2 linked regions of the Oryzias latipes genome follow. The protein of the gene in region 1 interacts with the protein of each later gene in a pairwise test. Links are inferred from orthologs where the notes say so. Each region holds a gene or a part of one and is shown on either strand. Other genes may lie near its edges.

Region 1 (3,755 bases):
ATTATTTGACATTTATGAAATGTTGTTGGTAAAGGAGTGAATACGTTTAATTTACTATAACGCCAAAACGACCAACTGCCATCACAGCAGACAACACTCACACAGGATGGCAGCAAAAAATGATCAATCCATCATTACAGTTCAATGTGACGAAACACTTTGAATTATGCAAAGACATGTGACCATACAGCGTGGCAGAATGTTCTAAAAATGTTCCCTTTGGATTATTTTGATGTGGAAAAACATTAGTGGGATGAACTTTATGAAAATAAAATGTGAATGGATTTTCCATTAATTCTTGTTTACTTGTTTGTTTGTTTTTACACTTGATTATCTTGCAAGAAATAGAAGGAATCTGGAAAACTTCACCTGCACCGTTCAGTCTCCAGGTGTTTATCTCTAAGTATCACTGGTTGAATTTTTGGCTAAAGATGTCCTCGATCGAGTTTAGGCCAGTGAATCGGATCAACTCAGATCATTCAAAATGAACCAATATTAACTATGAATCATATCAGCAAACATGAATTATGATATGAATAAACACCATGAATCGTTACATCCCTACTAGAAAGACGAACTCTAAGAAATTAATATTTTGCATAACAGGGCCTGATAGAGCTCATCTAAACATGATCTGTCCTGCCTGTCTGTGTGTAAAAAATGGGCTATTGCTTGATGAACCGTAAATCATTCAAAGTATACAGCAGGATGCTGACAATTCTTCTGAATCTATCCGCAGTGCTTAGGGCTGAGTTTTGTGTTGATCTTTCTTAAGGATCTATCACTAAAATCCAGTTTGTAGTTGTTTAATTAAATTGTGTAAATGACCGTTGATTGAAACACAAAAGCTTTAAGCATAACATTTAAAATCTACAGTAAGTTTTGGATATTTAACTATATTAACATGTATTTTTAACTGAAACACGTCGTTTTTAAGTTCATACATTTAGAAATATTCTCCCAATAACCATTACAGAGAAAGTCACATGCAGGTGTTCTGTTGTTTTAATCAGAATTCAATCACAGAATTGTCTCCATGCAGCTCCAAACACAAGCCAGAACCACACGACGTTCTTCTACCGGAAACGCAGCGTTCATCAACTTCCGATGTCACGGGGTATCTGGGAGTCGGAGCAAAAAAGCGGGCACAACAAAATCTTTGCTGTTTTTGTAGACTTAAAACAGCAGAAGGCGTAAAGATTTGGATTATTGCGTCACATAAACACATATTGTGGGCCTGTGACTAAGCTGGATTCGCTTTGGGCTTCGAAAATAGTCTCATTTATTCGGATTTCGTAGCCTAGCTAGCAGCTGAGCCTCCTCGGCGGTGTGGAGCAGCAGGCCTTTCTTCTGGACTTTGCTACAAGCTAGTTAGCTGGCGTTAGCGGGCTAACTTAAGCGAGCACGTTTTTCCTTTTTCCGTATTTGTATGTGTTACATTTGAGCAAATACCACGTCACTAATGTGTGTGATACCACCTATCGTTTGATAGGTTTGTTTTTGAGCCGTGTTTTTGCTAACCGAGGTTAACTTTCCGAAGCGCTATCATTGAAGCGCTTGAATCTCAAAGTGCTCACTTTCTTGCTAGCTTAAGCTAGCCTCCGCCAACCGAACAACGCAGTCTTCGAAAGCGTAGTAGGTTTCTATCCAGAGATGTCGGATTTCGACGAATTTGAAAGACAACTGTCTGAGAACCATCAAGGTAAATGGACTAGTTACACAATTAACAATGATTGCAAAAGAGGTACATGTCATTTTTATCTCTATGGTTAGCACGTCGCGGACGTGTCTGTTTAACTGGCCTATGATCAAATAGCCTCTAAATGTACAACGCAGCTTTACAAGTTTATCGATGTTTTCCTGTAATCTGGCTTTCGGTACTGTTGTATAATGCTATTAACATTAAAATGTTTTCAATTTTGTATTATCTTGAACTCCATCGTGGTATTATTATGGCATGTCCGATTCATGTGGCGTGTAATAATATTTAAGCGGTGCTTTCTGTCATTGAATTATCATTCAGCCGCTCGTGCTCGATAGTTCCTTTTTACAAGTTCAACTGTTTATCTTTATACATTCTCTACTGCAGTTTTTGCAATAGTCCTTTCAGTTTCATATTGTGTTTATGCTACTGATACAAATTCTTGCTTCTTTAATATAGCTGGTTTCCTGTACTCTCCTCTTTTATCTTCCTTTTTTTCCCACCTATCTGCAGATGCATCGTCTTGTAGCATGATTAACATAAAAATGTACTTTTAAGAGAAATAACCTCATTTATGCACATTTTCCTTCTACTTGATTACTACTTGATTTATCTTTTCACTTTGTGTTCATACCTGTAAGACCATTTATGAAAATTAAAATTAAACATCGAGAACATGTCTAAATTCAGCTCGCTTTAATTTGCTTTTATGAACAATATTTCTGGGGTTATGTTTTTTAAGAAGATTTTTGTTTTAATGAAAAACACTTTATACTTTTATACTTCATAGTTACTGAGCACCGCTCTTTTGCCACAGAAAGGGACAAAGAAAACCGGCACCATCGTCGTTCTTCATCCCGCAGCCGCAGCAGAGAGAGGAAGAAGAGGAGCAGGGATGGCGGGGAAAGACGCAGCAGGGACCGCCGTGGGGACAGTAAGGAGCGGAGACACCGGCGCAAGTCAGTACATCTACACCAATCCTCCTGTTTAAAAACAAGCTGTTATGTGTAAAATCTCTTATCAACTGTCCAGCAATAACATGGCAACGTTAAGTCTCTTTATTAACTTTATTGTAATGTCTGCAGTCTACATGCATCATTACATTGTTCACACAAATGCACCAGTTATGTATGTTTGTTCTGATGAGCTTTTGATTTCATTTGATTTATTCGTTTTTTTTTCCCTACTTCTTTTGAAATTAGAAGAGAATTCTCACTTGTTTGTTTTGAAGTGCATTGATATTCAAGTGTGACTGGAAATGCAGTGTTTTTTATTTTATTTATGAATCATAACTCAAAAAGTTTGTTTGATTCATATAAGAAATCTAAATCTCTTCCTCCAATTTGTCATTTCAGCTCGCCACCCGCCTACCCTCAAGAAAATACTGCAAGGTAACAGAAAACTTAACACAAAGCTGGCAGTTGCAGAAACTGTACATTGACACTCCTATCACTTTAAAGACAATTTACACATGTTCAAGTAATTTGTTTTTGGGTATTGTCCATTTTTCTGTCTTTTTTGTCACTTTTACTATGTTGAAATCGATGCAACCTTCTTTAAAAAAAAGTTCATTTTCTCCTAATGTTTATTTTTTTTTCTTCCCTCTTACAGCCGATCTCCCCATCGTGAAAAGAAGAAGAAGATCAAGAAGTATTGGGATGTTCCTCCTCCTGGTTTTGAGCATATCACTCCCATGCAGTACAAAGCCATGCAAGGTAACTCTTATCTGTTTCCAGTGTATTTAATTCACAAATGTGTACACATAACATGCTAAAGGCCTGTTCACACCGGGACGAATTTCGCCGGCGATTTTCGCCGACGTTTAACGCCTCGTGACTAAACAAAGGGCACGAAAAAACGTGCACGCGTTAAAGCGTAAAAAAAAAAACGCCTCGGGTTCGTTTTTTTTTCGACGCGACGCGTCGCGTCGAAATCTACTCGACCAATGAGAATGGCACTTTTGCTCACGTGTCTGGAGCTTCTGAAGTTACAGTAAAACACAACTTGGGGGCGCTCAAACACAAAACTGCCTTGCTGAGCACACATACCAGCG
Region 2 (3,755 bases), on another chromosome or scaffold:
GTAAATACAGAGCAGCTCAGTTTAATGAAGCTGTGACAGCAGATGTAGGATCTAGATCTAAAGGCAGCTAAGTACAAAATATGTCATGGAAGTGATGGAAGGATGTGTTTACACAACTAAAAAAATGAAGAAAATGTGGTTTTGTACAAACTTTGAACTTATGATAACAGATTTTGTGTTACAACAGATGTTCCGATGCTTTTTTAATTATTTATTTTTCCCATTCTGTTCTTTCACTGCCTTTTTGCTGCATAACTGACATGCTACTAACATGTTTTTGTGTCTAATAACAGATGTGTCCTCATTGCTGGTTGTTCGTCGCGTTGTTTTCAGTATTTTTTGCTTTAGTGCGTCTTTTCCTTGTAATCTAGACCCCAGCCGGCCACAGCAGGTGGTCCTCCTGACTCAATCTGGTTCTGTTTCTTTCTAATCTCCCATTAAGAAGAGGTTTTCTTCCTCACAGTCACTTTGTGTGTGCTCGGTACAGAGATGACACCAAATCTGTCGGTCACTAAAATAGGCCATCGATATACAATTAAAACAGTCTGGGCTTTCTTTTTGGAATTATCAGGCTCAATTAAAATATTTTTTGTTTTTTGTATAACAGTTTGAAACTGCCTGAATTATGAACTGGTCCTTTACAAATGAAGTGAATTGAAAATGAAGCATTACACCTGTGTAATACACACTTATGATAGAAACTAAATGATTTTCTGCAGCGTCATTTTTGTTTTTAAAGTCTCTAATTTGTTTCTTGCTTAAATAGGAGTAACAATATTTTTCTTCCTCTGCTGCCTTTAATACCATGAATGATTATTTCTGCCAAATACTCAATTAATCCACTTTTAACTCACAAGCTCCCGACTCTTTTTCAGGTTTCATCATTTAGAGGTTTAGGAAACCTTTGTAGGTGAGTAGAATTAAGGTGTGGCACAGTGTGTATAGAAAATTGCCTTTTTTCAGAATAATCTAATTTTCTGACATAGAAATTAAGGGTTTTTACTACCTGTAAACCTTAACCTTAAAAGTATAAGAATTAAAGACTTGAAATGTTAAATTTTCGTGAAACAAATGTGTACTAAATAAATGTTTCCCTTTTTTAAATGACTGACAAAAATGTAACTTTTTACAGTATTCTTATTTTTGGATTGTACTTGTACCACACACGCACCGCCACGACAAATGTCTCACCCCTCTAATGTGGGCACTCCCTCATGGCGCGTACCCTGTCGCCGAGGAAAGTAGCGACCACGTGGTTGCCGTGCACTGTATCGTTGCCGCGATGCCATTTCCCTTTCTCTCCTGTTTTCTGCCTCTCTGTTATCCTCTGAGGGTAACCGCGCTCGGACGTCAAAGTTATCATCGAAGATGCCGAGGGCGAACGGACCGTATCCAGAGGGAAATGTGAAGAAGTGCTGGTGATCCATGTCCTGCAAAGAACCACAGAGTCAAGGTCCAAAAACGACTTAGACTTTTTCCATAGAAAAAAAACACTTACTAAAGCCCCCACAACGATTATCTTTTCATCTTTTTTAAAGGCATTCCTAGTGGTTTTTAAATTATGATTGTGCCGTTTTAAGGCAAAATCAAAAAGCCTGTGTTGTTTTCTAGGACATAGTTTCTACAGAGCGGCAGTAGTTCATTAGAAAGTTGACTCTGAGTTGTGGGCAGGACTGTCGGCATGGAGTTAGCACGCCCTCATTCCCCATCATCCCTTTTTTACAAGCTTACAGCCCCTTTAAACCCCAACCTAACACTACCGGTGCAACAAAAATGGCGATCCAGCCTTACGGTTTGGATCCAGATGCGGAAAACAAATACATACATGGATCTAGGTGTCTAAAAATGGATGCATCGGTCTGGACCAGAGCAAGAAACTTGTGGCCAGCCGATTATCATTTGTACACAACAACTACAAGCTTTTTTAAATGTAATATTTTTCGTCTGCTCCTGATTTGAACAAAGAAATAGTCAGAAATTCAGTTGTAATCTTAATTTCCGTTATATGTGTCCTCAATCATGAGAAAAATGCTACAAGAAGATGCTTAAAAACACCAAGAAACTTTTATTGGAGTGGGTCTTTAAGTCCCTCTTACCTCAAAGGACTGACGATTCTGGTCACTGGCAGAGGAAGTGGATGCTGACCTATTTTCAGAGCTGAAGAAAGTTTAAAATGTAACACAAAATACAAAACAAATAAATGTGCACCACACATATTTGAATAATAGCAACAATTCACACCTTATTTCTTCTGGTAGCTCCTCGATAAAACCAGAATTACATCTTGGACATGTGTAGTCCTATAAAAAAAATACAATATCATATTATGTCATAATACCACAAATATTTATCTGTAGGATGTCTATAGGTCCAAGATAATTACATTTTTTTTAATGTATTATGCTAATCTGACAGTTAAAATCCTTAGAAATCTGAATTTAGTTAGTCTGTTAAAATACCTACACTATTTAAAAAAAAAAACAGAACTAGACCTTTAGAAAAATAAACTCCTTTGTTTTTTAGATATTTGCCTAGAATACATAAAAACACTTTGCCAGTACTTCCTTAGTAAAACACAATCACACAGCTAAACAGTCGACTGAATAAAGCAAAGGTTACTGTAACAATCAAGAAGTTTCCCATGAAAAGCATGACAGCATGCTGTCAAAGAGTCAAAGCGCCATCTGACCCAAACCAGTTTCAAACACAGACTCAAGGTCACAGAAAACAAACCAGTTCAAATATTTCTGGAGAAACCTGAATACATTTATGACATTAAAAACAAATGGAATTTTCTGTTTGTTAGCTTGTGGTCAGAAAACGCCACGAGACAGTTAACAGTGTTGATCTGTGAAAGCTGGCCTTGGTTTTGTCCCAAATGTTCCCATTTTGAAAGTGTATGTATGTAAATACAGAGGGATAACTGGAGTCTCTGCCTGCCAACTTCGTTACTGACATTGACTGACAGGTTAGCTAAACAGGTATAGCCTAACAGCAGCAGCGCGTGGACGTCTGTTGATCTAACACACTCATATTTAGATAACACGCATTTTCTCCGCTTTCCTACTGACTGTTGTGCCTGTGAGGTTCTTACTGGTAAACGGGGTGTAACCTCTGCTGAGCACCGGTGACAGAAAAACCGGCAGGGCCGTGGAGGGGCTTCAGCCATTTTCAGGAGTTGAAGAGTAACGGTGTGGACGGAGAGCGGTAAAGGACAAGAAAACCCCAGTTTGAGTTCGCTGAGAGGAAAAGTGAAGACATCAAACATCATGTGACTGAGAGAGGAAAGCTTCCGCTTTAACATTGACTTTCAAAATAAAATAACGTAAATCAACTTAAATTAACTTAACTTAATTAAATTAAATTAAATTAAATTAAATTAAATTAAATTAAATTAAATTAAATTAAATTAAATTAAATTAAATTAAATTAAATTCATAAAGTGCAAGTGCAAGTGCAAAGTTTGAGCCTAATCTGCAACACCACTATGTCCACCGTAAAAAATGAAAAATATCAATCCAGCTATCTCAGCGACCATTGCTGTAAAAAAAAAAACTGCACTGATTTGCAGTTAGTCACGTTCATTAACCCCTAAAATAATATAGGAACAAATTCTAAATTACTTTAGATTTAGTTTTACTTTTCTCACTACTGAAGTCCTGCTAAAGTAAAAGCGAAAAACAAAAAGTGTATCTTTTCACAGAAGCTTTAATCAATCAGAGTACCATTAATTAAAAAAAATTTCTATTAAAAAA

The links. The genes of interacting proteins can lie anywhere in the genome.
Region 2: the proteins of u2af2 (region 1) and sugp1 interact in binary tests that used the Homo sapiens proteins (3 or more experiments, as listed by UniProt). The link is inferred for Oryzias latipes from reciprocal best matches to the Homo sapiens genes U2AF2 and SUGP1.

The regions. Positions count from the first base shown.
Region 1 is NC_019874.2:19,813,489-19,817,243, reverse strand, and holds the start of u2af2 (splicing factor U2AF 65 kDa subunit), read left to right. Parts: upstream 1-1,078; 5' UTR 1,079-1,653; coding exon 1,654-1,702; intron 1,703-2,492; coding exon 2,493-2,661; intron 2,662-3,057; coding exon 3,058-3,093; intron 3,094-3,313; coding exon 3,314-3,417; intron 3,418-3,755. UniProt on the Homo sapiens protein: Plays a role in pre-mRNA splicing and 3'-end processing. By recruiting PRPF19 and the PRP19C/Prp19 complex/NTC/Nineteen complex to the RNA polymerase II C-terminal domain (CTD), and thereby pre-mRNA, may couple transcription to splicing.
Region 2 is NC_019875.2:22,733,387-22,737,141, forward strand, and holds the start of sugp1 (SURP and G-patch domain-containing protein 1), read left to right. Parts: upstream 1-1,425; coding exon 1,426-1,453; intron 1,454-2,096; coding exon of another isoform or gene 2,097-2,157; intron 2,158-2,241; coding exon of another isoform or gene 2,242-2,300; intron 2,301-3,094; coding exon of another isoform or gene 3,095-3,169; exon of another isoform or gene 3,170-3,262; intron 3,263-3,755. Other genes in the region: E3 ubiquitin-protein ligase RNF126, read right to left, coding at 1,192-1,430, 2,097-2,157, 2,242-2,300, 3,095-3,169.